Caenorhabditis elegans: one gene and its partners. The protein of the gene in region 3 interacts with the protein of the main gene of each other region in a biochemical or structural test. Each region holds a gene or a part of one and is shown on either strand. Other genes may lie near its edges. The genes, in order: flp-11, flp-25, dmsr-7 and flp-32.

The links.
Region 1: the proteins of dmsr-7 (region 3) and flp-11 interact in a test that uses a peptide from one of them, tested with the Caenorhabditis elegans proteins (one large-scale study listed by BioGRID).
Region 2: the proteins of dmsr-7 (region 3) and flp-25 interact in a test that uses a peptide from one of them, tested with the Caenorhabditis elegans proteins (one large-scale study listed by BioGRID).
Region 4: the proteins of dmsr-7 (region 3) and flp-32 interact in a test that uses a peptide from one of them, tested with the Caenorhabditis elegans proteins (one large-scale study listed by BioGRID).

The regions. Positions count from the first base shown.
Region 1 is NC_003284.9:4,675,734-4,681,745, forward strand, and holds flp-11 (SPLDEEDFAPESPLQ-amide), read right to left. Parts: upstream 2,390-6,012; 5' UTR 2,334-2,389; coding exon 2,254-2,333; intron 2,199-2,253; coding exon 2,032-2,198; coding exon of another isoform or gene 2,018-2,031; exon of another isoform or gene 1,963-2,017; coding exon 1,877-1,962; coding exon of another isoform or gene 1,821-1,876; 3' UTR 1,601-1,820; downstream 1-1,600. Other genes in the region: tmem-135 (Transmembrane protein 135 homolog), read left to right, coding at 1-80, 123-290, 776-916, 1,121-1,287, 1,332-1,464; K02G10.15 (Neuropeptide-Like Protein), read right to left, coding at 5,658-5,808. UniProt on the Caenorhabditis elegans protein: FMRFamides and FMRFamide-like peptides are neuropeptides. Induces sleep-like quiescence behavior following release from RIS interneuron. Helps to sustain locomotion stop after gamma-aminobutyric acid (GABA) induces fast slowing response.
Region 2 is NC_003281.10:9,358,381-9,367,434, reverse strand, and holds flp-25 (FMRF-Like Peptide), read right to left. Parts: upstream 5,908-9,054; 5' UTR 5,769-5,907; intron 3,368-5,768; 5' UTR 3,361-3,367; coding exon 3,159-3,360; intron 2,348-3,158; coding exon 2,259-2,347; 3' UTR 2,055-2,258; downstream 1-2,054. Other genes in the region: crn-6 (Cell death-related nuclease 6), read right to left, coding at 71-162; K04H4.5 (uncharacterized protein), read right to left, coding at 6,168-6,305, 6,355-6,422, 6,469-6,937, 6,984-7,064.
Region 3 is NC_003283.11:5,402,714-5,410,994, reverse strand, and holds dmsr-7 (G-protein coupled receptors family 1 profile domain-containing protein), read right to left. Parts: upstream 5,643-8,281; 5' UTR 5,626-5,642; coding exon 5,540-5,625; intron 5,473-5,539; coding exon 5,260-5,472; intron 4,405-5,259; coding exon 4,261-4,404; intron 4,065-4,260; coding exon 3,806-4,064; intron 3,758-3,805; coding exon 3,627-3,757; intron 3,579-3,626; coding exon 3,453-3,578; intron 3,242-3,452; coding exon 3,101-3,241; intron 3,037-3,100; coding exon 2,962-3,036; intron 2,912-2,961; coding exon 2,797-2,911; 3' UTR 2,609-2,796; downstream 1-2,608. Other genes in the region: C25A6.1 (Serine/threonine-protein phosphatase), read right to left, coding at 924-1,004, 1,052-1,129, 1,180-1,320, 1,366-1,439, 1,486-1,561, 1,632-1,760, 2,144-2,467.
Region 4 is NC_003284.9:15,430,395-15,437,165, reverse strand, and holds flp-32 (FMRF-Like Peptide), read right to left. Parts: upstream 3,380-6,771; 5' UTR 3,369-3,379; coding exon 3,298-3,368; intron 3,142-3,297; exon of another isoform or gene 2,945-3,141; intron 2,641-2,944; coding exon 2,552-2,640; intron 2,449-2,551; coding exon 2,363-2,448; 3' UTR 2,194-2,362; downstream 1-2,193. Other genes in the region: mocs-1 (Molybdenum cofactor sulfurase), read left to right, coding at 1-32, 968-1,083, 1,146-1,253, 1,393-1,482; blos-8 (BLOC-1-related complex subunit 7), read left to right, coding at 6,051-6,161, 6,224-6,286, 6,340-6,404.

The DNA of each region.
Region 1 (6,012 bases), on a different chromosome or scaffold from region 3:
TTTTGGAAAAATTGAGAAGTGATTATAAGAAAACTGAACTATGCAATCATCCACATTCTTGCGTTAGCCACTCAGTAGAAGTAACATCACAGTTAAAAAAAAACATACCGCAACTTTTACAGAGTTTTGCTAAAAATATGACATTTGGATTAACAGCAAGCTCGGTGCTTACTGTAATTAGAAATGTACGAACAATTATCAAAAATCCATTGAATCTCATCACACTACTGGTATCTAAAGAAAATCTGAAACTTCCACTCTTTGCAGGCTTTTTACCATTTATTTTCAATGTAAGTTTATTGGATAGTAGAAAAAAGTAAAAAATTGTAGTCTCGAATAATTTTTCACAGGGTATTTTTAAACTTACAATACAAATTGTTGTGAAGTCGTTTTTCAGGAACAGACTAGTGTGCAACTATTAGAAAAACTGGAAAAGTTACAATTGTCTAGTTTTTTTGATAACATAAGTGGCTGAATTATGTTTAAATTGCTTTGCGAAGTGTACGATTTTTTTTTATTTTTCGGTATATTAAGTCAGTATACCGCAGTTATCAGAATTTAGAGGTGCAATATTTTTGAAGTCGGACAATTTTGCATTTATAAAAATGTTTCCTGTCAATCCCGGGTGCCGCATTTTTTTTTGCAAAATTTGCAACTTTTCGCGACTGGTTAAGAAACTAGCGACTTTAATTTCAACTAAACTTTATTTATTAAATTTTAGAATCTAGTAAATAGTTTTTTCAGTATAAATTTACTTACTCTCAAACAATTCTAGGCTACTCGATGCTCTTTAAATCGGGTTAAATACGTTCCTCCGGTGCTCAATAATGTATTTTCTGCTGGTTTGGCATCAGTTGCAATGGCCTTCTATCCCACTGTCAGTATTGCTATGTATTGTCTCTGGAAAGCAATTGAGGTATGATATTTTGCTCCTCGTTTAAATTTCCTAGCTGCAAACAGCGTAAGCTTCTAAAAATAAAGCTCTGAAACAAAGAAGATGTGAATTTTGATGAGCTGCTCGACCGGGGTGGAATCCCAAATGTGAAAGGCGGGCTTCCATGGTGATATCCTGACGACAGCGAGGTGATCAGCGCCAACTCCCTTCATGACATTTTTTCAGACGGTATATTTCGATCTAGTTGATCGAGGTTATTTGCCAAAATTCAAAAATGGAGAAGTAATTCTTTACGCAATCACGACGGGTTACGTTTTATGGAACGCTGTTGTTGAACCTAGAGCAATTCGAAGAGGATACCTCAACTTTCTTTTTGGACTTGTTGGTGGAAAGTAAGGATCTAACTAGCTGTAACAACTTGACTTTTTCATTGCAGGATCTCGCTTTTCAATCGACGTCTCTACGATCATTTTGGCTTTGTTTCTCGAGATGTTTACACGAAAATTCCAGAATTCGATCCTAAATATGCAATGATTAATCCTATGCTTTACATGCCACTTGTTGAATAGTTTTTGATCTAATATTTGAAAAAAAACAGGTGTAATATAAAAAAAATAAATTTAATTTTTAATTTGAATTTTCCGATTCAGATTTTAGAATTTAATTTTCTTTTGTTCACTATCTGAAAATGTGAAAAAAATAAACAAAGTGATTTTGCGAGTAATTAACAACGCCTTTATTGTTCATAGACAGAGCATAGAAATATCAGAAAATGTGTGTTGTTAGCTGATAAAAAACACCAAAAGAGATCTGGGGAGATAACTTTCCTTCGGAGGGAAAGGGGGGTTAAGCGACACCAATCAAATTCTAGACAGCAAGAGAGAGTATGAAAAAAGAGAGTGTGAGAGAGAAAAACATATGATTTTTAATGATGAATTCGCCTCAGGAGTTGTTCGAGCAGAAGACGGTCGTCCTCGGTCATTACTTGTTGTTGGCGAACTTGAGCTTCTGAAGAGTCGACAAAAGGTCGTGCATGTGGTCGAGTTGACCGGATCGGCCAAAGCGAACTGCAAAGCAAAATAAACGACACATGAAGCAAAGGCAAAAAGCGGAAGAAAAATTTTAAGACAACTTACCAAATGGTTGTGGGGCACCGTTCCGTTTTCCCTGGAGTGGGCTCTCTGGAGCAAAGTCTTCCTCGTCCAATGGAGACCTCTTTCCGAATCTAACGAGAGCATTTCTCATTCCACCACTAGCTCTTCCAAATCGAACCAAGGCGTTCCGCATGGCACGTTTCTCCGCACTACAATAGATTTATATGGGTAATTGATAAAAATTGTTTTAAGAAAAAACTATACCTGACGTCATCATAAGATTGAGCAAAAGAAGCGGCAACGAAGACAATAAGGAGAAGTGCCAATGCAGAGAATTGAGTCATTATTCAGTATGAACTGCAAAAAGTGAGACGAGCGGCTAGGCGCAGTCTTTTTATACCTGAAACGATGTATTAGGAGGGGGCGTTGTAGATTCCGAAGAGAAAGCAAATAGCCGCAGGACATACTTTATTACTATTTACAAATGGTTTGATGAGTTTTGAACGTTTTAATGAAAAATTTGCGAAATGGATTCTTCTCAAGGAAACTTCTTATGGAAAATAGGATGATGTCAATGGTTTCCAAAACGAAACCGAAGTGTAGGGTGTCTTTGGGCTTTTCAAAAGCAAGAAGTGAATAGATCAAATGCAGGTGTTCTGCGCTCTGAAACGTTCCACAGGCCACGCCTACTTGTGTGTGTGTGTGTGTGAGGAAACTGAGAAAAACGCAAGCAAAAAAGTCATCTTGAAAATAGCATTAAATTTCGGAAAGGAAGGAAAAGCTAGTTTTGCTTTTTTTAATAATGGAAAAAGTACTACAAAATGTGTACAATATTTTGTGAATATTTTGAGGACGCTTGTTCTAGTGTTCTTGAATTTTTAATTTAGAATTGTTATGAAGTTTTTATTCATTTCCAACAGATGCAGAGATTTTCTATACAGAAAACATTCTAATAATTATAATGTATATTTAAAAATTAAAACTTGCAAAAAAATTTCTTGAAAATTTACCAATTTGCCAAAACTTTAATTGAAAATTGTTGTAAAATTTGAAAAAGTTTGAAGTGTTTTATTAATACGTGTCTGGTTTTTTGGAAACATTTTACTTGGTCCAGCACTTTAACTGGCACTTCTCCCAATAAAAGATCGGTTTATTTCCAAAATGCGTGCCTAACTGTTATACCAAACAAATAAAGTTTTTTAAAAATCGGCAGTTGCCGCAAATTTCGCATTGTGTGCCGATGTGCCAAAATTGCCAGAATTTTTGATAATTTTTAATTTTCATCATATTTCAAAAATTAAAAATATATCAAAACTTGATTCAAAGTCATAATCAATAGGTCATTTTCTTACTGAAATACCTAATATTTTGAGGTTTATTGTTTAGCTAAATCACCAGTTCCGGCAATTGTTGGACTATAAACTTTTGGCAATATGCCGAAACTGCCGAAATTTCGACGCACTCCTGTTTACAGAAGATTGAAAAAAAGCAGAATTAGAAGTTTTAAAGTTGAGATATTGGTCAGAAAATCGATTTCATTTTTACGAAAAAAATATTCCAAAAAGTCACAATGGAAAGTTTGAAAAATGACCCGTATTTATATATTCGTGTGTCCTTGTTTGACATGAAACCTTCTTATCGTTTTTCAATCTCCCCCACTTTTGCACTTTTTTGAAAATCTTTCTTTACAAGAAGACGCACCTTGCAAAAAGTGCGCTCAAACACTGATTATGCCAAGCGAAACATGGGTGTGAAACTAGAAAAATAAATTAGATGCAAAATGGATTCGTCTATGCTTTTTCCTCAAATATTAAATGAGTTTACATCACTTGGCGCCGGGATTCGAACATCATAAATTTATGAGTTAGAAGATGCCCACGAAGGTAAGATGCGGAAATATTTGACACGTCAGCAGGTTGTTAAGTTTCGTCGTCACAGTTTTGCATCTTTTCGTATTTTAACTTATATTTTATAATCTTATATTCAATGGAGTGTGGGTGTTTGTGGGTGGAACCAGGATTGAGGATGCTAAAAGTTGTGGGGGAATTACTCTTAACAGATTGAAAAATGAAGTGCGAAAAGATATGAGGAACTCTACTGGAACTGATGGGCCATAAAACCATGAAAACCTCTCTCACCCCATTCATCAACTTTAGAGGCTCAACATTTGGAAAAAAAAGGTTTGGGCTTTTGGGATACTTGTTTTTCTTTCTCCAGATCTTTCCAACTTTGGGGAACTAGTAAGCCACAATGGTTTCATAGAACTTGATGAATAGTCAGAGGGAACAATGAAACCTACAATGAATCGAACATCAAATGAAACTTGATATGAATAAATGATAAGATCACTAGTGGAACGGAAACTGGAATTAAAGCCTAGACCAACTTACATCATCTTTTTTCATTTTTCAGTCTGAGCACAATGTTATTCCTTTTTCAAAAATTGCAACAAGAGACCAGACAAAACACTTATTGAACCTAAGGAAATGATTGAAATTTTTTTTCGGGACTGGAAACAACTAAAATTTATGAAAACAAAGAGCATCTTGGATGCTAGTTATTTTGAGATGCTAGTTATTTTGAAAATTCTAGGTTTCATTCCAAAAAAGATAATCTCATTTTCTGTTAAATTTAAAAGCTTAGATTTTTACATGTATTTCAATGGCGAGCTTTAAAATAAATTCTCCTAAAAAAAAAAAAAAAGTTGGATCCGAATTTGGCAAAACAGACTGATAATCATCATAAATTGAACAACACTTGGACCGAATGTGAGCTGCAAAAAAAGTTTGGAGCAATTTTGTGCTCACTTTAAGCTTCAGTTTTGGCAGTCTGGGATAGTTTTTCCAAGTTTTTCCCAAGCTGTACCATCTTCTGACTCTAAGAAGTGATACCAGTCTGAATATCAGAGTTCGATTTTTTACTGGACTAGAAAAGTGGTCTATGTTGTGTTGTTGCCTTGATCAGACTTACAGTTTTGTCCACACATCAAGAATTAGTGAGGGAAGAAATATAGGAGTTCAACTGTGATAAAAATCTTATGAAAACCGTTTTTTAAAACAACGCTGCACAAAAATCCTTCAAAAAAACAAAGTCATTGTATTCAAACTTATGAAACACGGTTTTTGGGTTTCTCCAAAATGTGCAGCTCGACCCAGGCCCACTCACATCATCTGGTGTGTTTTATCGGCCGATAGGTCTTTTGAAATGACGTGGAGATCCCGAAAACATTTGTTTTATTTCCCTCAATGAGTAAAGAACAAAGTGAAAGACTTCATCTGCATGAGGATAAAATGGGATCAAAGAAAAGTATCGAAATAAGAAAATGTAGAAAAGTAAAAAGATGAATAAATAAATGGGGGTGAAAATTCAAATGAACACACAATGCACAGTTTTGAAGTGAAAGTTTTCGAGAAAAAAAATGAGAGAATTGTTGTGACCATGAGGTCACTATAAATAGTAAAGTCAAAGAGCCGAAAGCGTGGGTGGGGGAGAAAGGAATGGAGAAGATAGTTGTAAAGTGATTGATAAAGCTGTGAAACGAAAGAAGAGGAATAAGTCATTGGGGGATAAGGGAGGACTGCTTTTCTATACTTATATTCACAAACATTTGTTGAACTTTGACGCTCTTCAGTCAAATATTGATATCTTTCTTTGTGTCATTCTTTAAGCTATGTCACGTCAATTCCTGTGTGACCATGATTCCGCCACTCGGCATATCCCACGGATCGTCCGAAGCGAGGGCGGACGAAAGAGTCCATTTGTGCAAGTATGTTGTCGACCCGAAAACCACCATCTCTGTAATGACGTCGCCTCTTGTGCCTAGAAATAAGAAACATCATGAATTCTCTTGACAATTTCGCGAGAATTTGTCAGGTCCTGTCAAAAACGCTACTCAACGAGCCAAACTCAAGAGGCCGCAGAGAAGAGAAAACAGTGCTACAGAGGACATGATAAATGTCTATAGTACAACTTTTCCATTCTTCAATGTTTTGGCCAATTTTGATGTTGCTATTCTTAGAAGAT
Region 2 (9,054 bases), on a different chromosome or scaffold from region 3:
TGTAACTTTTTTTTTCTCTACAAAAGTTGCCAAACTCAGCCCAAAACTCATATATTCCCTTGTAACTCACCAATCTACATTACTTCCATTATTATCCTTGCATTGGTACGCGGCATTTGATATCCCAATAAGTGAAACTATCAAGATAATTTGACGAATCATCTGCAATAATATTTCAGAAAAAGAAGAAGAAAAAACGAAAGAAATGCAGAGTATTGAGAACGATAATTTTTTATATAGGTGTTAAAAACTCAGGACATAAGACGATTAAATGTTTTGGTACCAAAGATGAAATTTTTAGTTCTGTCACTTATTTTAGCCACTTTTCAGCGAGAGGAGAAGTTGTACTTTTCTATTTTCAGAGAAGAGGCTGTGAGTTGAGAGTCACGTGCTGATAAACTAGATTTTAAGATAGACAAAGCCTTTTCCTGTTCTTTTGAAAATGATAAATGGTCTCAGTCGTCGCCGAGAATGAAAAAGAAAATAAATTTCAATAAAATGTTTTATGAACATTGCCAGTGCTCAAAGTTCCGATATATTCCTCATAAATGAAAATACCAGACACAATTATTTTCTTGAATTATATTTCAAGCACAGTTTCTTAAACAAATCACAATAAAAAATTAAAGTTACAGTTAAATAATGAGGCTCCCTGAACACTCGAAAATTCAGTACGACAAACTTAAAAAATTGAAATATTAGATAAATGACAGATGACCAGTACCAACTCAATCAATACTGCTGACGTGGCAGCTGAACAGACACCCATTCAATAAATAACCTTTTATTGTAACCGCTGTTTGGTTAGATGATCTTATCTTTTTCTTGTCTAGTAACACCTTCTATAATTCCCATATATTCCTTATCATTTCTCGGACATCGTGACTGATGTCGTCATCAAACTGTGCTCCGAAGAGCATACAAGAATGATGTTTGCTGCGAAGAAGACATGTTAACTACAAATGAATCACTTTCTGATCTCGTTTGAAAAATTCAAGACTACTAAAAGTCGGTTTGACTCCAAAAAAAAGGCATTTTTATTAATCAATCTTTGAAATAGAGACAATGAGTTCAAAAAGGCTTTATATTAATCTTAAAAATTGCCAAAAAAAATCAAGTTTCAGTTTAAAAATTCCATTAGTATTTTGTGCAGCGACTTGATAGTGAGTTGTAAAGCTCAAAACAAAACATATTTCACAGTAAAAAAAAGTGTTGCATATCTGAAGAGACTTGAAATTTTTTTAAACTGAAATTCAGTGCAATCAAGCAGTTTTGCAGATTCATTTTATGAAAAGTTGTTTCAATATTTTGACATTGTCTAAAAAATTTAATTCTATTGCAACTGATCATTTATATTTCCCGTTCAATCCCACATTGTACTTCCCTTTCCTATTATATCAAACATTATTTCATCCAAACATCCAAAACCGCCTTCGATCGATTTTCTGAAAAGTGGAACAGCTGAAAATCTCTTCGTCATGACTTTGTTCAATTCCACCTGCTTCTCCTTCTCATTTCTCTCACCTACAGTAGTCAATAGAATTCAGTAGCATTGGGAACAAAACTCAGATATTCTTAGTCAATGTCGTAAAGGTCATTAATTTTTTAAATAATTTTTAATTAATGAAAAATGAAACTTGAGTAACTTGAGTATAACAAAACTTTGATGAAACCTGGGCGTTGCCGAACTAGAAGGTTCTGAGGGTTCCACAGGAAGTTTGAAATTTAAACGAGATATTTGTAATTTGAAAGCTTTTAATTGTGAATTTTAAGCTGCAAAATTTCCGAGCTGAGCTTGCGGTGAGCTTCCAAAGATTCTGCATAAGCGGTACACTTTTGGTATTTCATGCCAAAACATATCATTTTTGTGATTTTTTTGAAATATTTCTGAAAAAATAAGAGGAAAGTCTTGCCCAACGTTTTCGATCTTGAGCAAGAAGTTGATGCAAAAAGCAAAGCTTTCAAGCACTTTTTGCCATAAAAAATTATGTTCATCCAGGAAATACAATCAACAACGTTTTGCAAAAACAAATAAAACTAAAAATTGCAAGGTTAACGTGTCAAGGCCGGTTTATTATTGGAAGCAATCAGCACACAACATGATTCATAAATATATCGTGGTGTATCACATAAATGACAATTATTATTCAGATGGAATTAAAGAAGTAAATAATGAAAATAAATGAGATGTTGTTCTAGTTTTTTGGTGAAAAGTGGAATGTCTATGAAGGCGCCGCGTGAATATGGATGAATTGAGATCATTTCCGACCGAAACGGATGTAGTCGTACGATGCCTTCTTGATTGGAGCAGCTCTTCCAAATCGAACAAAATCATAATCTCGTTTCACTGGAAAACACTTTTTGGTTTGATAGACTTGAAAATAGAATTGTTAGGGTTATTACTCGTAAATGAATATTAATTTGATTTACCTGGGACATTGACATATCTTGATTGGACATTGCGCGAAAATAAGGAAATTGGGGGAAAATAGGATTCAGCTTGGAATAATATGTTAGATCAAAAAATTTGAGGGGTTTTGAGAAATTATTTGATAATTTGTTTTTCCAACTTTTGGCTTTTATGAATTTTAACCTTTTTGGTTTTAACGACTACATTAGCTCACCAAAAACAATTTTTACGTAGATTTCTATTAAATTAAGTTTCGATTCAAAGTGATTAGATTTTCCAGCTCTATGCAATCTTTGAGTCCTTAGAAAAGTTTCATTCATCAAGCTAATACGGAAAGATTTTTCTCAAATGACAGCTGGCAACGGATCTTAAAGTTCCAATATTTTGGCTGAGTTTTTAAGAGAAAATTAATAATTTCAAAATACTACACCACTTCAACATCTCATTATCTCCTGCCATTGGTTTTATTAAAACTTGTTCAACTTTAAAAAAATATTGTGCAATTGTTGACATTCATTTCACTGTTGATAAGTTTCTTAATAAGTCTTCAAAAAAACTTAGAAAATAGATGTCCAGACGGGTGCTAAAGTTTAAGGTTCTTTGGATAAATTGTTCTTATCTCTTAGAACTGACCAATTTTTTAGAGGCAATTACCATACTAACACTAATTCAATAACCATTGTCTCTCACCAAAAAAGTAGAAGGACGGAGAAAAGTCTCCCCCCGTATGGAAACAAAATACACTCACTTTTGAACTGTGACGAAGGTCTGGCAAGAAGATTGGAAAGACGAGTCGACTCATAGAGCTCCGGAGGGAGCACCAGTCCCAAGTCGACGGCTGCCGAACCATCTTCCTGACAATCAATGGAGCACTCCTTTTTTGCTTCGGTGGTGGCGCAGAGCAACACAAGGAATGCGACCAGAAGATAGATCATCGAGTTGTGAGACATTTGGCCACTGGAAAATTTAAAGATTTTAAAGAATTAGGAAAGTTATTTATATTGATTAATAAGGATCGGAAGAATTTCCTAGCTCACAGCTTTATGAAACCAACTATCACAGAAAAAATGTCTAACTATAAGTAAATAAGCTATGAAAATAGTATAGAATAAAAGGAAAATCAATCTAATCGTGTAAGGAGATTACTGTAGATAATTCAAATTTTATTGGATTTATATTATAGGCGGTGGTGAAAACTGAAAAACAATAGATTACTACGTCAAGTGAATTGGGTCAAACAGCTAGAGCTCCTTATATTTTATATCACAAGCTTCCAGGACTCCGCCTACCTTTTTTGATTGAATTCGTTAACCAGCGTCTCTCACTGACTATACACTCTCTAAGAAGTTTTCAGATGTCGGAGGTGACGTGGAATTGGAAGGATCTAAGGTAGGAAAAACTAAAAATATATATGGAAATGAAGGAAAAAAGCACTGTAAATCAAAATATATTTAATGTTTCTAAAGATTTTTTGCGCTGAAAATGACGGTAGGAATGTGATATGAGCTATGATTTACGAATGCTCATAAAGTTTTGGAATTTTGGGAATTGAAATAAAATTTTGCAAGCTTACACTTCTAGGGCTTCCAAATTGCCTGCATGATTTCAAACAAAGTATGTTCGGATACGGAAGTACACTAGGATTAACATTAGGTAGATTAAACAGCATCATTTGTGAGGGCGGTCCAGAAATTCCAAAATGATGGGAATAACGGGAGTGGGCGGTAATGTGGGCAAGTATTTGAAAACTAGGCAAGTATTTGAAAACTTATTTTTTTACAGATTTCCAGAATTTTTTCTTTAAAAATTATAAAAAAAACTCCGGAATGTTCGGCTACCGTAAAACACTTCTATAAATAAAAATTCTACAAAACTGCACTGATAAAGAATACTGGGCTCAAAATGATTTTTAAAAATGCACTGAAACAATTTAAAATCCAAATTTTAGGTGTTAGGAGTTTGGTAATGTCGCTCAAATATCTCATTTCAAGATCGGGTGTGAACATAGTTTCCTTTTCAGAAATTACTAACCAAAAAATTCTAGACATTTGTTTTGTAATTAATTTTTTGAGTAGCCGTTGAAAAACAATCTAAAGCTATTTATTTTCTGGTCTGATTTGGTTGACATTAGTTATTAGAAAAATTTAAGATTGAGGAAGTTGAATTCATAATGAAAATTTTTCAAACTTGAAAAGTATGTCGAATTCTTTGCAAAATGTTTTCATCCAAAACCGCGAAACATATGTTTTCACATGCTGCTTTTTGTTTTATCCCAAAACAAAACAGTTGAACTTTTATTTTTCAAAAAGGGCTCACGAAAAGGAAAAATGTTAGAGTAACAAAAAATTAATTATTACATATTTTCTTTTAAATTTGTGTTGTAATTTCATTCAATTAAATTTCTTACAGTTTTATAGGCGTTTTCTGGAGAGTCTGGCGGGCGTTAGCACAATTTTTAGAAAAAGTTTTCACAAGTTGGGTGCAGATTTTTGACTCCAAAATGTCACATTTAGTTTCAGAAACTTCAATCTTCACCGCCTCCAGAATTTGTATAACACATGTCAATGATTTCATATTTTCTTTGCATTATTCCGACAACTTTTGACAGCAAAAAGACACTACAAACAGCTGAAAATTGAAGAAATGCAACCAAGTAATCGTCATTTTCTGTAGGATGTTTAAACTTGAATAATGGGGGTAGAAAACTTGAAAATTAAAAAAAAAGGAAAAAAGAGAAAAATGAATGGGAAGAAGTAAAGGGGAAGACCTAATTTGTTTAGCTATTTCTCCTCGAACTTTGTGCTCATTTCTGCTGTTATGAGTTGAAACTTATGAATATTTTTCATGAACTGACAAATTGCTACGTGAGTTCTGCTAAAAAATGAATAAGATGTACTCGAATAAGTCAAGTTATTCTACAAATTTTCTGCAAAATTTATGGACTTTGAATTTTTGGGTTCATTCTGTGTAGCCACGGTTTTTCGCGATGTGCGTAGAAGATCCGATCCTTGCCGCTAGGAACAAGAGTGGAGCTAGCCAGAATCAGATGCGGTCACTCAACCATGGTCCCAAGCTATTTTGCGAGAGTCAACAACGACACGGTGCCAGCCTGCAAGAAGTGTGGCGATGTCACAGGGAATGTGGAACACATGCTGAGATGTTCTATCCAACCCCCGCTCACTCCGTCTAAACTGTGGACGGATCCGAAAAAGGTGGCAGAGGCACTGGGCCTCCCCACCAGAATTTTCGATCCAGGCGGATCTCAATGATCCAAGGACCTCCACGGTTCCACCGTGGTGCTTTTGCACCACTACTACTACTACTATGTGCGTAGAACGCCTCAATCAGCACAATATACCCAAAACACAATTGATGGCCGGGCACGATGTGCCTAAAGTTGTCGGTGGCGGGCCGTTTACAATGCCATTGCTGCGAGATTCCTGATTGACAAGTTGCCAATTATCTGTGAACAAAAAGGAGAGATATTCGGAGTCAATTTTCCATTGTTACCATTAAGAAATGTCCAAAGAACTTTGAAGATCCGATTTTATCTTGAAAAATTGAACATTTCTTGAAAAAGTACCTATTTTTAATGAAAAACAGTACGATTTTTGAAAACACTACTAATGTTCTTCTGACATCCGCTTTCTTCTCAACTTTTTGAGAGTGGGTCTCGGATAAAGTGGCTGAAAAGAAATACAAAAATTCTTCATTTCATATCGACAGATTTTGAGATTCATTTCACATTGGGAAACACCTAATTGAGCTCCGGCATTGCGTATTGCGATTCAATTGATTTGGTGACTGGACGGAAAGCACTCAATCCTTTGTACTTGCTCTCGGAGTGGCGATCATACGTGCTTGTGATCGGAAGGCAGCCAAAAGCTGGACCAAGCTGAAAAAAACGAGTTTAAAACTTTATTTTTTGAACTGAAAAAATTTACCGTAGCGGTAAGGCAGGAGGATTCAGAGGCAATTGTAGAAGTAACATCCGATGCAGTGTATGAAATCACTGTAATTGATAACTTTTTGTATTCTGCATAGTTATAAAAACATACAGCTTTCCAGTCCGGTCTTTTTTGGGCTATTCACTTTATTCGGGTCCTCATTTTCCATCAACACGTATTGAGACTTTTCGTGTGCTCCATTAATTTTGAAAACGTTCTCAGTAGCTTCAATCGATGTCATTTTAGGAAGCTGGAAGTTGCTCATTTTTTGAACGTCATCGTTAAAATTCTGTGGCGGCGGAGAGAAACCCGGGACGTAGTACTCAAAGTTCATTGAATCCACCGGTGCGATGGCTTCCACTTCTTTCTTATCTCCCTCCAAATTAGCATCAGACTTTTCGTAAGCATAGAAAGATTTGTCTGCTTGTTCGGCTGCAATGATCTTCTCCTTCTGAGCTGCACGAAGCTGAGCACGGTAGATTGGTGGAATGTCGTCAGACTCCAAACCACAGTAATCCGAAACAAGTGGCTCTTTGATGTTAACATCAATCACAGATGCGAGCTCTTGGAGATTTTCAAGCTAAAAATTAGGACTTTTTGGCAATCCATTGAATTACCTAGCCTACCGGTGGAAGATCGTTACTCTCAGTCATCCCAAACATTTGAGTAGCTTCAGGCTCCAAATAAAAACTTTCAACGTATCCCATTGCTTCGAACTGAAAAGAGAATGAATCATCGATTCTCTAAATTAGAACTCACTTGAACAGAAATTGTCCGCTGTAACGAAATGGCAAAGTAAAATCGGGAATAAATTTAAAACAGTGAGAAACGCTCATTTATACTCGAATGGGCATTTTCACGTAGTTACGTGGCAATACCGTGTAACACGAAAAATTAATAATAATAATTAGCAGAAATTAATATTTGGAAAATGAGACTTCTATTTAGATCCAGCCGTTTGTGAATTCGTTCCGTCTGTGCACGTTTTTCAGCTGGTCTGATTGAATTATCAGGATGTTTTCTTCTGTACTGTGGGTTTTAGCACCTTCTAAACATTTGTAAATTTGGAAATTGATTTTAGAATTGATAAGTTTAAAATAATTTTGACATTTTCAAATTTTTTTCCGAAATTGATGCAGTAATAAAAGCACATTGCACGCCCATGCAAAAGAACCTTCCATTTTTAGAACTTTCGAACCTTTTTCCAGGAGAAGCCCACTCAGAGCATTAGGGACGCTTTGCAAACTTTCCGCTAGTTGTCAAACTCGAATGATAAAGACAAATCAGAGAGGAAACTGAGAAACAAAGACAAAAAGCGAGGGAAACCGCGCAATTGATAAGCACAGGAGCGCGGCGGTACTGCAGCAGCTTTTCGTGACCTCTTCAGAGATGACTGTGTTCGTGTCGCTTATCACTCTCCGGCTTTTGGGTATGGACAGACGGTAAAGACAGAAAAGAAGAGAAGCCATGTGTTATGTGCCTTGACTAGACTCCCGCTAGAAAAAACTGGTGGAGATACTTTTAGATCAAACGCAAATAAAAGTGGCCGGCAAATGTCTATTAATATAATAATATTTGTTATGGAGAACTCAAACATATAATCAAGTTTCTGATAAGAAGATCGCGAACAAATGAAAAAAAAAACGTTGAGGATCAGAGTGCAAAAAGTGGCAAAGTGAAATATAGATAATTGGGTCCAAAGTTACAGGAAGTTGTAAAATGTTTCAAATGGGTTGTTTATTAGTCTGTTCAACATGTGACCGGGAAGTAGATTTTAAACAAAAGTTGAACGACGAGTCTCCAAATCTGGACGTTCAGCGGTTTAAAAATATGTTTAGGATTAGGCTTAGCTTAAGCTTGGGCTTAGTCTTAGTCTTAGGCTTACTCGCAAAAATAAGTCGCACACTGCCGTGGAAACTTTTATAAATGATATTTAAAAAAATCAAAAACCTAGATGATCAAATCATTGAGATCAAATCACAAACATTTATAAATATCTTAATCTCTGCTCATTCGCATAATAAATTGTATAAAACGGTTGAGGAAATCAGCATTTGACATTTTCAGATTGTAATACTCATTTTCAGTATGACAAAACATTGAAAAACCAGGTGGATTTTGTTTGAAGTATGGCATTTCAGTCACTCATGACTCAAAGTGACGAGCTCCTGCAAAAGTTGAACTTTGTGGAGCACATCTGGAAGATTCTGGAATAAATAGTTTCGCAATGTTTCACAAAAGTGTCCCTTCGGATTTCATCATAATCATAGTCTATTCAAGAGAATTTACCAAATCCTTGCTCGCCCGGTAGGGGTCATTTAGTGTGGTGGGATCTCCCTCCTTTGCGAGCCAGTATTTGAGTGTGTACTTTTTCAAGTGGACGACAAGTGACGGAGAGTGCGTTGGTCAGTTTGCCACGACCTTTGTACAAGCTTCGCAAAACAATCTCGAAAAGACAGACAGTATGTATGAGAGAGATTCTTCTTGTTTCTATCTCTCTCTCTCCCTCTTCCTAGGTTCTCACAAATAGAAATGCGCTTGAAGCTGGCTCTGCTGGAGACAGTGAAGCACACTGATTTGCATGCCAAACATATGATAAGAAAATAAGAGAGAGGGGCGAGAGCCGAATTCGGTCAGGTCAAGAACAAAGAGCGCGCGCAAATTTTATAGCATAAGTGGGAGAAGACTCAAACAATA
Region 3 (8,281 bases):
TGAGGTCGCCTGATCAGAGACTTAGACATCGACGCCTTCTGATTTCAACGAAATGGGTGGAGGGTTGATCTTATAACTTGATGACGACGACGACGAAGACATACACTCATTTGTCCTCTTCCCACACGTGGTCATTGTCTAATTCAATTATCACGCAATTTGACGGATGCTGCCTGCTGAAGGCCTGTCCCCCCCCCCCCCCCAATTGCTAGAGAGACGAATCAAAGATAAGTATGTACCTTTTTTGTTCCCAACGCATACCTAGAGACAAACACGTGTTTCGTTAAAAAGTTACTTTGGGATACAGTTTTGGTACGGATGTACTCAGATTGTTCAGATTTTAAAGATTTTCGTAGGCTTTTTTGAAAAAATTATAAGAGTAAGTAGAGTGACTAATAGTAGTGTGACTGACTAGATGCCACGTGGGATGATATAATAACAAGCGTGACTGTATGATTAAAAGTCTAACATATGACACCCGTCTTGCCTTGGCTGGACTATCCGAATTAGAAATTTCAGCTAGTCACGATGATTGAAAAATGTAGGATCTGAAGCCAATATAACTAATTGAGGTCTCTCAAAATATTAATAAATTCAATTTTTTGGATAAAAAGATCAAAACATAGACTGGTAAGATTGAAAAATCAGTTAAAAATTTAAAGTGTTGTGGTATTCTAGTTTTGGGATAACTGTTGGGATCACCACTGTTAAGATCTCCACTGCAATATTTCTCTCAAAAAAGACGGGAAGTTGGTGAAAATTTCTACCGGAAAGGTGTCGTTGTTTGTCAAGCTGGCTGGGCAGGTTGTTGGCCAAATTTCAAATATTACTTTTAAACATTAAATTATTATTTTACAAATAATATCAAAACCACATTTATTTGTCTATTCATTTATTGAAGGAAATTATGAATCAGCCATCCATCAGTTTGTTTCATCCTTGAGCAATGGTTTCTCGCGAACTTCAAGGCGGCCACTCGTTGGACGGAGAATTTCGAACGAGCACTGTAAGAATGCACATTTATTACAACATTTCAATTAAAAATTTTTACCTGAAGCTTCTCGTCGCAAGACATGAAGGCAGCACAGTTGTCGAATTGACCACAGTAATGAGGAGCCGAGAAGATTGTCTAAAAATTTTTAATGTTCCTTTCTCTCGGCACTTTTTTTTTACTCATACCACCAATTTCCGACCAGCAAAGAACTCATAACCGTCTTGAACAACTTGATGGGCACGACAGATCAGGTCAAGCTTAAAATCGGAGCACACTTTCAGAACAGCATCTCTTCCGAATCCACACCCGGCACCTCGGTTGTTTTCCTGAATAAAGTTGATGAAATCGATCTTTTCTTATCAGAAAGTTACCATAAACCCAGAAAGACCACTAATAGGATCGGCCCACAAAAGATCAGCTACCAGTCTCTCCTTGCCGTCATGGCCTATTAATTTTTCTCAGGTTGTCCAAAGTGAAATCCTTTGACATACTAGGCGATAGTCCTCCGTGCATGCACAAGATCTTATTAGCAATGAGTCCGCAGAGTGGAAGCCAATTGAATACGTCCTGAAAGTACCGTTTTTCCTGTATTAATATTGCACCTTATTGTTCAATTTTGGTAAAAAATCAAATTTACCTGGAAAGCCGTGAACATGCGAACACTTTGATAGCGTTTCTGACACTCTTCATAGAATCCATATACCTTGTTGACAAACTCGCACTCATGGTTTCCACGCAACAAGAATAAATTGCCCGGGAATTTCACCTGGAATCATGACTTGAAAAATGTTTCAAAGAAGTTCACGCCATGGGATTTGGAAGATCGGGAGAGAGAAATAAACGTCCAAAAGATCCATCACTCCAGTTGACGTCATTTTTCAAATTTGACAGCTCATCGGAGCAGCATCAACTTTCTGTCACTTTGATACTTGAGAGATGCGCACTTTTTTGCAGAGCAATATGTGATGGACAATAAATATGTTTCTTTTTGAAAACACATTTATTTATCACATGTGTACGCTTATTTTGGAAAATCTAAGCGGTCTCTGCAAAAATCCCCTGTTTTGGCATTCTTTGTGTCAATGATTAATTCTGGCGCGTCACAATTTTTGATCCTAGCTTCTTTTTGCAAAACTTAAAGCAACAAACCTTATAAGCGAGAAGAAGAACAATGGTTTCAATGCTAAATCTTCCACGGTCCACATAGTCACCAAGGAATAAATAATTCGCAGTCGGCGGCCATCCACCACGATGGAAGAGACGAAGAAGATCCGGGAATTGTCCATGGATGTCACCGCACACCTTTATCGGAGCATTCATTTCAACCATTGATTTCTGTCTTTTAAATACATCCAGTGCCAAATCGAGAAGCTTTAGAACTCGTCCTTCCGTGATCACTTCGGAAAGTAGCTTTTCGTGAGTACTAGCGCTCAGGACATCAATTATTATGTTGTCAACGACGTCGTCTTTCATAATCTAAAACATCAAACCTTTTTAACTTTTGATTCCTGGAAGAGAAAAAGAGAACTCACCTTTCGGAAATCACTTTCAATTGAAAATAATTTTTTTTCCTAGTTTTACTCACATCTACGTGTCTTTTTGTAAACAATTTTTTTTTCACGGCGCCGTGAATAATTTAATAATTTTGTAAACCATATTGATTTATATAAAAACTGAATTAATAAAAAACAAAAAGTACCCGTAACAAGAATAGAATAGAAAATGCGAAAGCTATGAAAATGAGCAAGATATCACAAAAAATCTGCAAAGGGAATTTGTACCGAGATCGAAAAAATTGGAATTTAAAGTTGATGTTCTCTACTGCTGTTCTGATTGTCCGACACGGAAGCTTCATACCGCCAATACTCATTGCGTGCTGGTTCCGGTTCAGTTGCCAGTGGCGTATAGCTTTGTTTTCTGCAAATTAAAGATAATATTTTCCAGACTTCAAAAACAAATTAACTGACCTTCCTAGTCGTAAGCTGTTGTTCAACTGAAGCTGTGAAAGTTCCGTCGGAGAACCACGACGGGTCGTCCACAATCTGAGAGGAAAAATTTTATTTTAGACTACTGTAACAGGAACTGGTTCAATAAGAATGAACTTACCCACAAGCCCACGAAGGAATGATAACTTCCCAAAACGTCTGCCGGTATCTTGAAGACATCACACAATATAAAACAAAATTTACAGAGGAATTGACAAGCGATAGGAGATCAAGAACATCACCAATGTAGAAATAGAGGTATCTGAAATGGAAAATTTAATTTTTCGAAAACTTCTTTAGCGCCCAATTTTAGCTTTAATTGGGCCAACAAAAATTTAGCAACACTTTTGCAAGACTCAGCCTGCACCCAAATTTCCAAAAATTCAAATGACTCAAGAAAAATTGGGTCAAGCTTGGGGCAGTTCGATTTCAGTTTTTCCAGGCCAAATTTCTAGTTAAACATCAAATCTTACCTATGAACGTCTGTAGTAAAAATTGCGCAAAGAATCGAGATGATTCCTTGTGGAAACTCCGTTATTAAAAATACCAATAAAATAACAACAAGCATCAATGTGGTTCTATCTGATGTTCCATTCTTTCTGAAAATTTCCATTTTGTCATAAAAGTTCTTTGAGAGTTGACTATACTTTTTCAATGGTTTTGAATCTGTTGATGCATTTGACGGAACACTCGTTAGTTTCCTCCGATGCTTTTCTGCGTCTCTAATCTTTGATACAAGGCCGAAAGACAAGAAAATTAGCAGAATACATGGAATGATCTGAAAACTGGTAGGACGTTTAATTTGATAACTCGCGTACTCGCTAACCTTGAACAGAATTCCAATCATCCAAATATTCCATTTAAACAACCGGCAATTGTTGATAGTCGCCGCGTGGCTGACCATAAAAGTGTACACCGGTTCAGAGTAGTTCGATGCAAATTTTTGACACGTTTTGCCAGGTCGCCAGTCATTTCCTTCTACACGGGCGATTTCGTGGACCAGCATATTTGGAATACAAAGTACAAATACGACCATATAGATTCCCAGGCACAACTTCCATGCGAACTTTGGTCGTTGCCATTGACTGAAAATTTCCAGATTTTTTAAGGGGGCCAACGTTTCTGGGTATATTGCTTGCAATGTCTTTGTAAAATTTCAATTTTAAATATTTTTGGATACCTACCATTGTTTGAAAAAAATTTTGAAAACTTTCATTACAAAACTTGTTCATCTTAGTGTATAAAAAAATGTTAGTCCCTTAAACTTTGCTCCCAGCATACCTATTCAAAGCGGTAACCCTTAATGTCATCCTCCGAATGAACGCCATCGCCACAGCGAGCCATAAAGAAGTTGTGTGTAGTGTGATGCTCAAAACAACATGCCACAATAGGAATTGTAACCAAGAATGAGTGAACGTTGGAGTGCTGTAATAAAATCTAATAATAAAAATTATTGAGTTTCATTGCAAACGCTTGTTTTCGTGTTTTTCAGTATCATTTTACGAGCGACTTTTCATCTTGAATTCACTTTTGTTATTTATGAATACACGTAGTTTGTAGCTTTGTGACGATTTTCAAAATTTCCTATGATCAATAAAATATGCAGTTGTTTTCATGTTTTGATGCACATAAAACGGATAGGAGGAAATAAATAGTTCCAGGTTCAACTAAAATTCTATGCCTCTTCAATTAAGTGCAGCAAGTGACGAACATGGGCATTCAACTTTTGAAATTCCATTATTACTTTGAGGATGTTTTTTTGTGTGTGTGTGTTGATACTTGAGTGGAAAAATAGAAGAATATAAATATCCTTCAAAATTTTCAATAGAAAGAGCACACTTAGTTTGAATTCTTGTTATTAATGGTTTGAGGTAGAGTTTGGAAAATAAGGATTTTGTTTCAAAGTATTCGAAATATTCAAATATATGCTGCATAATCAAAAAAAAAGGAAACTTAAAAAATCGAGAAAGATTTAAAAATGTCCAATTTTTGAAATTGCGAATTTTCATATTTGAATTTTTCCAAAATGAGAAGCCATGACTATTTTTAAACCAATCAGCGCCTTCGAACTCTACATCCTTTTTATGAAGTGACCGACATTTTCCGGGTTTTGCAATTCACCATAAAATTGGAATAGGAAAAACCAGAAAATAAATATTTTAAAGCTTGTGTTATTTTTCCAAAAATTCCATATTTGTTGATGTTCCTACTCAAAAGCCGCCACGCCGCTCCATTTCCCAAAACAAAAACATTTCCACCCAATAAACACACAAGAATTACCAGGAATTATTTCGTCGTAAGACAAAATGTATAATATAAATGAGATAGGATGCCATTGTTCCGATATCACAGACAGCCACTGCTGTCAGTATGCAGTTGACGGCCGAATTGCGCATGTTGGGTCTCGATAAAACTGCCACATGCACAAAATTGGTGAAGATACCAAAAACGCAGATGAGCACACATACATATCCGTGAATTGGCTGGTACCATCTGACAATTAATCATTGGTTCATTTTTCTTTTTTTGAAAGAAGTGCACAAAAAATAGTTTAACAAACCTTTGAAAATGTGCAAGTTTCCGAAGAAATGCCTGCGTACTGTTACTGTTCGGATCAAACAACTGAGCATCGTGCGGACATTCCATATCTAGCACATCCTTCAAAATGTTGAAAATTTAAGGGGTTTTTAAAGACCATTGAAACAAAGAAACATAAGGAGAAAATCAGAAGAAGCCAAGAGCAACAGGGTGGAATGCGTTCTGTGTTTTTTGAACTTTTAGATGACAGTCGGTTGTTGTGGAAGAAGCTGATCGAGTTTTCGAACAAAATATATAATTTCGTTTTTCAAAAAATTTACAAAATTATAGGTCACTGGCCGGAAGTTATTTTTGTTCCGTGAGTTGTTATTTCTATAGCAGGAAAATACTTTGAAAAATTGTAAAAATCTTTGATTGAAGATTTTTATTTTTTAAAAACTATTTCCTAGAGTAAAAAAAACCAAAAAACCTATTTTTTTGCCGGCCAGGGCGGTAGATTTGTTTGTTTTCGAAAACAAAGTGAGCGAAAAATTGCAAAAAACGCGTAAATTCTTTTGTAAATTTTGCATGTTTAAAAAAAAATGACACTCGAAACCGTAAAAGAGAGCCATATTTATCAAAATATTTATTATTTGGGTTTAAAACATTTTAAAATAATTTTTTTCGATTTCAGCAGATCTTGAAAATGCACAAAATAATTGGTAGGCATGTAGGCATGCCTGCCAACTTATCTTGGCAAGACTAGTCTTTTAAAACATAGTAAGCATATTTTTCAGCAGTTTTATAATTGCGATGATTATAATTGTGAAGCACACTCGTTCGTGAATGTTTAATCTTTCGCTCAACTTTCTGTTTCTTGTGAACATGTAACCTAGATCTAGGGCTTCTAGGTAGGCGCCAAACGACTGCCTACCTGCCGGACTTCAAAGTTAGGTCCACCTGCTTTTCATCAAATTAATCGAAATTCAAATTTATTGCTTTCAAATTTTATGCGCCTGCCTACCATGTTAGTCCTACCTAGAACAGAAACTTATTAGTTAAGTATAAAAGTTTTAAACTTTGGTATTTCATGCCACCATAAAACATATAAAATCAGGGGGCCATCTTGTGAAAATGTTTGTTGTGTGGTGCTGCTTCACACACACCGAAACATTTGAAACAGAATGGATTTCGAGACAGAAATGTGGCATTCAAAGTTAATGAATTCATCTTCCAGAGAAGATGAATCGGAAAATCGAATATTCTCACGACTTATGAATAAGGAAAACGTGGAAAAAAAAAGTTTAGGGGCGCAGGCGCAGTCAAAAGGGGAAGAAAGAAAGCTCAAGTCCCTTGGGAATTGAAGTGATGTGCCTATTGACTATTGACCACTGAACATTTCATCTTTGTTTCAAGAAATCAAAAGAGTGACCTAGCTAATTCTCTAACACCTTAAAATGCAGAGAGCCTAATTGGGGGAGAAATGAGAAAAATGCAGGAAAAAAGCTGAAAAGGGGCAAAAACTGGAGGAAGGAGAGGCGCTACCAATGGTGGATTGCGCACGTAACGTGTTCATTGTCTTTTTTACTCGAAACAAAATGGCGAAGCTTCTCCTCAAATTCAATTTGCAGTTCAAGCAGCTTCTAGTGCTTGAAAAGCAGTGACGAGACTGCATTATTTTCAAAGTGACGAGCAAAAAGGAGGAAAAAAAAAGAAGGACTAGAAGGAGGGGTAGGAATAGTGAGAGGAGAGAATTGGGATGCACAAATCACAACAAAACTTTGGGCAATGAAGAGGAGCCTTTCTTGGTTCCTTCTGGCTCCTCCACAAGTTTCCTAATGCTCAATTCTAGACTAATCTTTCAGATGGCTGTGCAGACTCCCGGATAGAATGATTCAGGCGGCTGCTTGGAATGCCTCCGTTTTTTTTCAGTTTGAGCACATTATTTAGTTACAGTGGCTCTGACTTTTGCTATCATACAAAGATACAAACAGGCCTAGAACGAAACAAAAAACAATTGGGGTGAAGAAAAAGAAAGATTATTGAATAAAGTTCCAGATGTGTTTTTCACAGATTGCTTGTTTTTCAAACTTTTAGATTTAGCTTGGATTTTTCGGGAAATTGAAAGAAATTGAAATTGCAAAAATTTCAAAAAATTTCAAAAGCACACTCATGCTATAAAGATCAAGAGAAAGTTTCTCCGAAAAATTTTACATTAAAAAGGTAAAATGCCTGCCTTCAAGGCGACCTATGCCTACCCTGAACCCAATGAAACACCGCTTTTACAGTGAAATGCCAAGAAACTTATATTGGGCAGGCAGGTAAGCAAATTGGACAAGCCCTGCCAATAATTTCTCTAGTGTTCAAAAACATTTGTTCAAATGTGTCACTAGAATTCTTCATATTCCGAAATCGCCGAAACTGACGATTGCTGGAATTTCAGGAGTGTTCAAACTTAACTATATTTTGAAAATTAAACTTAAAAGTTTAACCTTGGCATATTTTGTTTTTCTTTGTATTCCGTCAGCCACGAAAATACCTAAACTTTCCAGGTTTTTTAGCGTTAAAAGTAAAAATTCTGCTGCAAAATGCATTTAGGGGTATTCATAATTTTTGGCAATTTAATTGTTTGATACCTAGGAGTCTAGATATCCTGCTTTTTGAAATGGAATTCTGAATATGAATGAAAACAAAATGCAAAGAAATTCAGAAAAAAAAACCAAGTACTATCCGTTATCAGAGGGTCTCGAAAATTCGACAAAAATTCAATTCGATTCGCAACAAC
Region 4 (6,771 bases), on a different chromosome or scaffold from region 3:
AGCCAGTGTCTACATGTTATCAAGATATATCAGTGAGTTGTTGTCCAGCATTTTTTCAAATTCAAATTCATGTTTGAATGTTTTAGGGTGTTGTTCAGTAGTATTTTACTTGAAAGTTTTAATGTATTCTATGTTTCTACGCATACTACTTATAATATGAATTAATGGTAGAGTAGAGTCAATTTTTTTTGCTTTAAATGACGGAAAATAGACCCTGTTGACCGAATTAAACAGTGAATTTTTTTTTTTAATTTTATGTTTTATGATTTTTTCAATTTTTCAAAAATTGAAAAAAAAAACTGCCGAATTAAATTTGAATTCCCATGCAAATGAGTGACGTCATTTTCGATATTTTTGCATTTTCTGGCTGAATTTACCAGTTTTTCTTAATTTTTTTCCATATTCGATTTACAACTTTGTTTGTCATTTTTTCATGCACTTTTCCGTAAATTCAACTCTGAAAGAAAATGGCGTGAAAGAAATTTCAAAGTTGGCCTAAAAATCGACCATTTAATGGTTATTTATAATTTTTTTCGTGTTTGAAAAACTGACAAACATAGTTTTAAATCAAATACAAAAGAACAAAGCAGAAAAAAAACAGAAGAATTTAGCCAAGAAACGCAAAAATATCAAAAATGACGTTACTCATTTGCGCGGGAATTCAAAATTAATTAGGCCGTTTCTTCGATTTTTGAAAAATTTAAAAAATCATTAAAAATTTAGAAACTTTTTTTTTGATTTTTTAACAGTAATATTCGGTCATTAAGGTCTATTTTCTGTCATTTACAGCAAAAAAAATTTTTGACTTCACTCCACCTTTAAAACATTCTAATTTCCCGTTTCCGTTAAACATTTGAGTTCATAACTGGTGACCTTCATAACATTTGCAAACTTTCAATGACAAATTTCCATATATTATTCTTCACTTCCTCTACAATCACTTGATATGAATGATTCATCATTTCAGACATGGAAGTGCGGGAAATTCTGACCCGATTCCGGTCCAACATAGTGGTGCGAGGTCTTCCGCCTTTTATTGAGGACACCGCAAAACGGCTGTCTATTGAGAATCTTGAGTTTGAGGTTGAGTTTTTTTCATGGAAAATATATATTCTCACAGGCTAATTATGTTTGTTCCGGTTTAGGTTGTCGACAAATGCACTCGATGTGAAATGATATGTGTGGATCCGATGACAGGCGAGAAGGATCCCAGTTTGCTGCTTGCATTACGGGATTATAGAAATAAGCAGAAGGTTTGAGACAACGCGTAGATCAAATTATGATAGGGTCAAAGTCACAAGAGCCTAGTACCATAGTATAAAGAAGATCATCTAGTCGAACAACAGAACTCTGTAGAGATTGCGAATTTTGGATAAACAGAAAAAGTTTCAGATGACATTTGGAATCTACATTCGACAAACTAATTTTGAGAGTGGACAATATTTGGAGTCTGGGATGTCTGTTAACTTTTCCACTGATTAGTAAATAAATGTTTCCAATCAAATTACTTACAAACTTGAGCATTCAAATTCGATGTTTTGTCTTTTACGTAGTGCCATAAGTCGGAACTAACTATGAACATAGTGACGTCATTTTCATATTAAATTGATGTATGATTTTACATTTTACAACCAAATAACTAAAAATTGGCAGAAAGGAGCACAATAGGGAATATCACAAAAAAATGTGTGTAGGTTAATAGAAAAAAAAAACAGGAAAAACTATTCCAAAGAAATCAGAGTAAACGACAAAACAAAATAAAAATTGAAATGACAACGTTAACTAGACTAAATAACTGGAAACTAGCAAATTCAGAGTATTTTCTGAAACTTGAAGAAGATAGATAAAATCAACTTGAAATAAATCCGAAAACATTGACGAACAATTGTTTCCAAAAATGAGGGTTCAGGTGGTAGTGGTGTATCTTTAGTTCGAGTCCGACCAGGCTTTTGTTCAAAAATAGGGCTGGAATATTGGGCGTCCGCTCGTCCGGATTTTAGAACTTTGAAAATTTTCCGAGGGGTAGGTTTTTAACGGCGGCCGACAATTTCCGAGTTTGGTTACTCACTATACCTAATCATAGAATTTTCTAATGAGTGGTTAAACTCGGAAATTGTCGGCCGCTTGGAAAATTTTGACTTTTTTTATTAATTAGAACTATAAAAGTTTTGACAAACATTAATTAGATACAACTTCACATGAATACTTTTATTAACAATATCTTGAATGAAGAAATTGAAAAAAAAAACACACACACAAATGCTTGAAAATGAGAGAAGACGATTGAGGACGACGGTTGGTGTGGTTAGCTTTTTGGAGTTGATCACTAGACGAAAATATTCCCTCCCTAAAGCATTGGCTTTCAGTAGAGCAGGACTGATGATGGCCCCCGGTTTGACATGCGCTCCGGAACATATTCATACGGGTCAGCAGATCCGTATGACTCTCCTGAAATAAAATGTTTACTCAATAAGTGAAATTGAATTTTAAATTTTTTGACGTCGCTGACTTGATCGGCGAGCAGTAGTGTTGATAAATGCTCAAAACTTACCTAGAAAAACATCGTCGGTGCCAACTGGATCGGCTCGTTTCCCAAACCGCACCAACGAGTTGCGCATCGCCTTTTTCGCCGGTCTCATGCTGAAAAAGAAACTCTTTGTACCCCCCCACTGGGGACGTATTTATTTTTTCTTTAAGTTCTCCAGAGACCATTTTATAAATGACTACTACTATTAAATCTACACGTTCTTGTTTATAGGCTATAAATATATTCCTTTTTCGAGTCAATCAGGTTGATTTGATTCTAGTTTTGCTCTCCTCAAGTACGCACGTTGCTCATAAACTATAGATGCCAGAGACCTTGATTTATTGCCGGTTTTATCTTCACATAGATTTTTAATTTTTTTTTTCTTTCAAGATTTCTTAACAAAACATTATATCAAACAAGTATTCAAAGAAACACAAAAGCTAAAAGTTGTGAGTTGTAATGTCAGTAATCATTCAAACTTCTCAACGCTTTTGTCTTTTGCAAATCGGCATTGAACTCCCTGGGTAGTTAAGTGACTACTGGAAAATTCAAAATTTTGAAATTTTTCAAACTTTGCTGTAGCTAAGAAAGCTTGGGAAATATAGTGGTACATAGGTGTTCGGTTATGCTAAATAGCCATGACGCGGATTTTGCTTGATGCAAAAAGAATCATAATTAAAACGACATCGTGCCCACGCTAGCAATCCTATTTATAATAATTTATTTCGAAAAAAAAGTTTCCTTGCTTAATGCCTATCACTTCCACTCACCTTGGCATGGCTTCCACGAAGACGATGGAGCAGAGGAGAGCGAGGATAAGGGTTTGCACAAAGGAGAGCATGTCGTAAGAATGAAGGCTTCGTGGGGCGTGGCACTCACTCGGCGAGCTGCTTTCAGATTCCCATTGCCCAACCCGAAGACCCCTCCCACTTTAGCTGCCACTGGCACATGTGTCATCCGCACTGTTTTTGTCGTGCTTTCGTAGGGATGACAGTGTGTGTTTAGTACTGGGAGGGTTACTTACCAAAATGACACTTCCATAATTGAGCCAGAGAACGGAACGATATAATCGAATAACAAATGAAGCAGCAATCGCATTACATTTCGAAAACCTGAATTTGAACACGTAATTTCTTTCCAAAAAGTGATGTCGGAGTCTCCGGCTCGGAGGATGAGCCCGACTTTTTCCGGGTTTTAGATGGGATAAGCTGTCGAGAACAGAATATTACTAATTGCGGCGCGGGACGAAGAAGCCGAAGCCGATCAAAAATCTGAACGTGAACAAAGGAGAAACTCCTCATTCTTGGTGTGTGGTTGAGTACCTAACCCTATCTACTAACCAAAAAGTTAATGTTTTACCAAAGAACCACACAGACCAACGTTTCTTTGTCTTGGCAATGTTCGTCGACGCCGCCAACTCACACCCCACTCATACATTTTCAACAGTGTCAGCGCAAAAAAAAGACGAATCTTTCTCTTTTTCACTTCTCACTTATTCTTTTGTTCCATTGTTCCGATAATTTAAAGACAAAATGACGAGGTAGGAACAACGAATTGCCGATAGTTGGAAACGGGGGAACTTTGTGTGCAACAAGACAATTGTGGAGCACATTTCAGGTGTATACTTGTTGGGAGGTATTCGATGAATTTTCTGCAAGGTAAACAACATTATTTTAAGAGCACTTAAGTGTTATAAGCTTCTGTAATGTTCTCGATCGGTTCAGAGTCCACACGAAAAATAATGCTTTGAATTTCGAAGTAGTATGTGAAAAGGAAATTATAGTGAATAAAATAAAATAGGTGATCTTCAAAAATGGTCACGAAAGTTACCTAGGTCTAAGCATTGCTTGGCACGTCCAACAAACTTTCATTCAAACATTCTTGTTTGCTGATCTAAACTGCTGAAATTTGTCGAACATCCTTACGATGGATAAATTTTTTCAACCGGTTTTGGCCTCCATGAGTTACTGTGAGCAAGTCAAAAAAATAAATAATTACTAAATGTTTGAAAAAGTCCCACAGGCGTACTCAATTTTTAAAATATACTTACGGCCTTGCATTGTAATATTTTCCGTAAATGCAATTTTACTACAGATTGGATAAGTCTAATTATTCAATTTTGGAAACCAGCAAAATTGGTCTAAAACTGAAATGCAAAATCTTTTTAAAAACTTGAACTCTGTGATGCGCCTCGGACTTATAGTTTGTGTTCTTTCAAGCGCTCAAAAATTGGAAGAAAACAACAACCGTTCCAATTTTATTTCCGTAGAATTTTATGATCAGGAACAAAAAAGCACAACAAAATTGAGAAATACTCGCATTCCATTCCAACATTTATTAAATTATGAAATTATTTGAAAAAATAAATTAAGTAAGTGAAGAACGCCTGACAAACAGTGAACTTTTCGCAAAAAAGAATATCATTTGTGTTCCAAAAACCAGAAGCTTGCAGGCAAAAAAATCCTAGATTCTCTCAAGAGCACATAACCAAGGTTAGAGGATTTCTATACATATTTGATAAAAGCAAACAAAAACATGAATCATCTCAGTGATTTTTCCAAGTTCTGGGTAGGTTCAAAAAGTAATGAGAATTTTCAATTTGCGGTTTTACCAAAATCATAGGGGTTTATTCATTTAGGAATAATTTTATATGAATATTTATTGGTATAAGACGTTTGATCGAGCCTTAAATGTTTTGACAATCATTTGGAAGAAGACTATATTTTTGCGTTAATCTTCTTGATTAAAAAAAACCACCATGAGAACAGCTTATGGGAGTAGTTCATTTTGGAACGATAGTTCTTATATATTGGGGGGGGGGGGGGGGAATATGTTTTATTATTACGATTTTTAAATTAGAAAACCGACAAAAAAATCTGTTATTAGGGTCAAAAATATCAATTGAAATATACTATTGCATGCACTACTACTAATTAGAAAAATTCGGTATCTTGTTGGGAAACCCGCTATTTGTGAGAATGTAACTATGGGAAAATATATAGGGTAGAATGTATATTTACGGGTTCTCCTTGCAAGCATTAAAACCTCATTCTCATGATTGTTTTGCCATGTTCTTTGCTTTTTCATGTTACTTTGTTTATATGTAAGCTCTTTGAATTTTAAATGAGAATAAAAATTTCTAGTTATATTTCCATAACCGTAATTTTCCTATACAACTTGTACCTCCATTTTTCTACTTTAGCAGGTTATATCTCGGTCGTCTAAAATTTTCCAAAAAATGTTCCAACATCAAAATGTAAAAGAAAATATTTTGCACATATTTTGTTAATTAACAATTTTTCGATAAAATCAGAGAGAACCAAGATACAAAATGCAATAGTAGACAAACGGGATCATATATTTTAATATCGTTACTTGCCTTTTATGATTTTGGTCTAAAGATGCACCATCGTTACACTTCTCTTTTTCTCTACTCCTCCACACTCTCTCACCCTCCCCTCACCACTATGTCCCCCTTCGCACATTATCGATTCCTGCAGGCCTCTACAAATTCAAACTCAAAATGAGCATTTCTCTGGAGAGTAAAACAAAACTGCCTCAAAAAATTCTAGAAATCATCACAGATGGTTCAGCTTTGCTTTCGATTCCGATGAGCAGCTCTCAAGCGTCGGAGGTAAGTGATTTTCAAAACATTTTAGTGTTTAACAACTGCGATCATTTTTATTTATTTTCCAGACCCTTCTCACAAGTGCAAAACAGTTTAGTCATGTGGAACAAGTTATAGACAATACGGATAAGGTAAGATATTTCAAATTTAAGTTTAAATAAAATAATTGTAAGCCCTTTTTTAGCTTCTGCGAGAAATCGAACAGATGGTAGACGGGGTAACCAAAAATGCTGAGGATATGGAAAAAGGGTGAGTTTTCAAAAAACCATACTTGAAAAAAATTTAGACGGAGTGTCGTTTTTGGTATTTTTGGTTTAATATTTATCAAATAACCTCAAAATGACATATAAAAAAAATGCAGAAATCATTGTGTGAAACACGATGTAAAATGTGAAAAAACAACGTCGACAATTTTTTTGACAAGACTTGCGCAGGAATTTGTATTCGCGGAGTACTTTTGCTAAATTATTGGCATTGAAGCTTTTTTAATTTTGAATAAATTTGATAATTTAAGTTTAATTCAAATGTGCCTTCAAATCCGTACAAATATTTAAGCTCACCGTACAAAAAAATCCTGCAAGATAGTATTTCTGTCCGCAGCCGTCACTATTTTTTT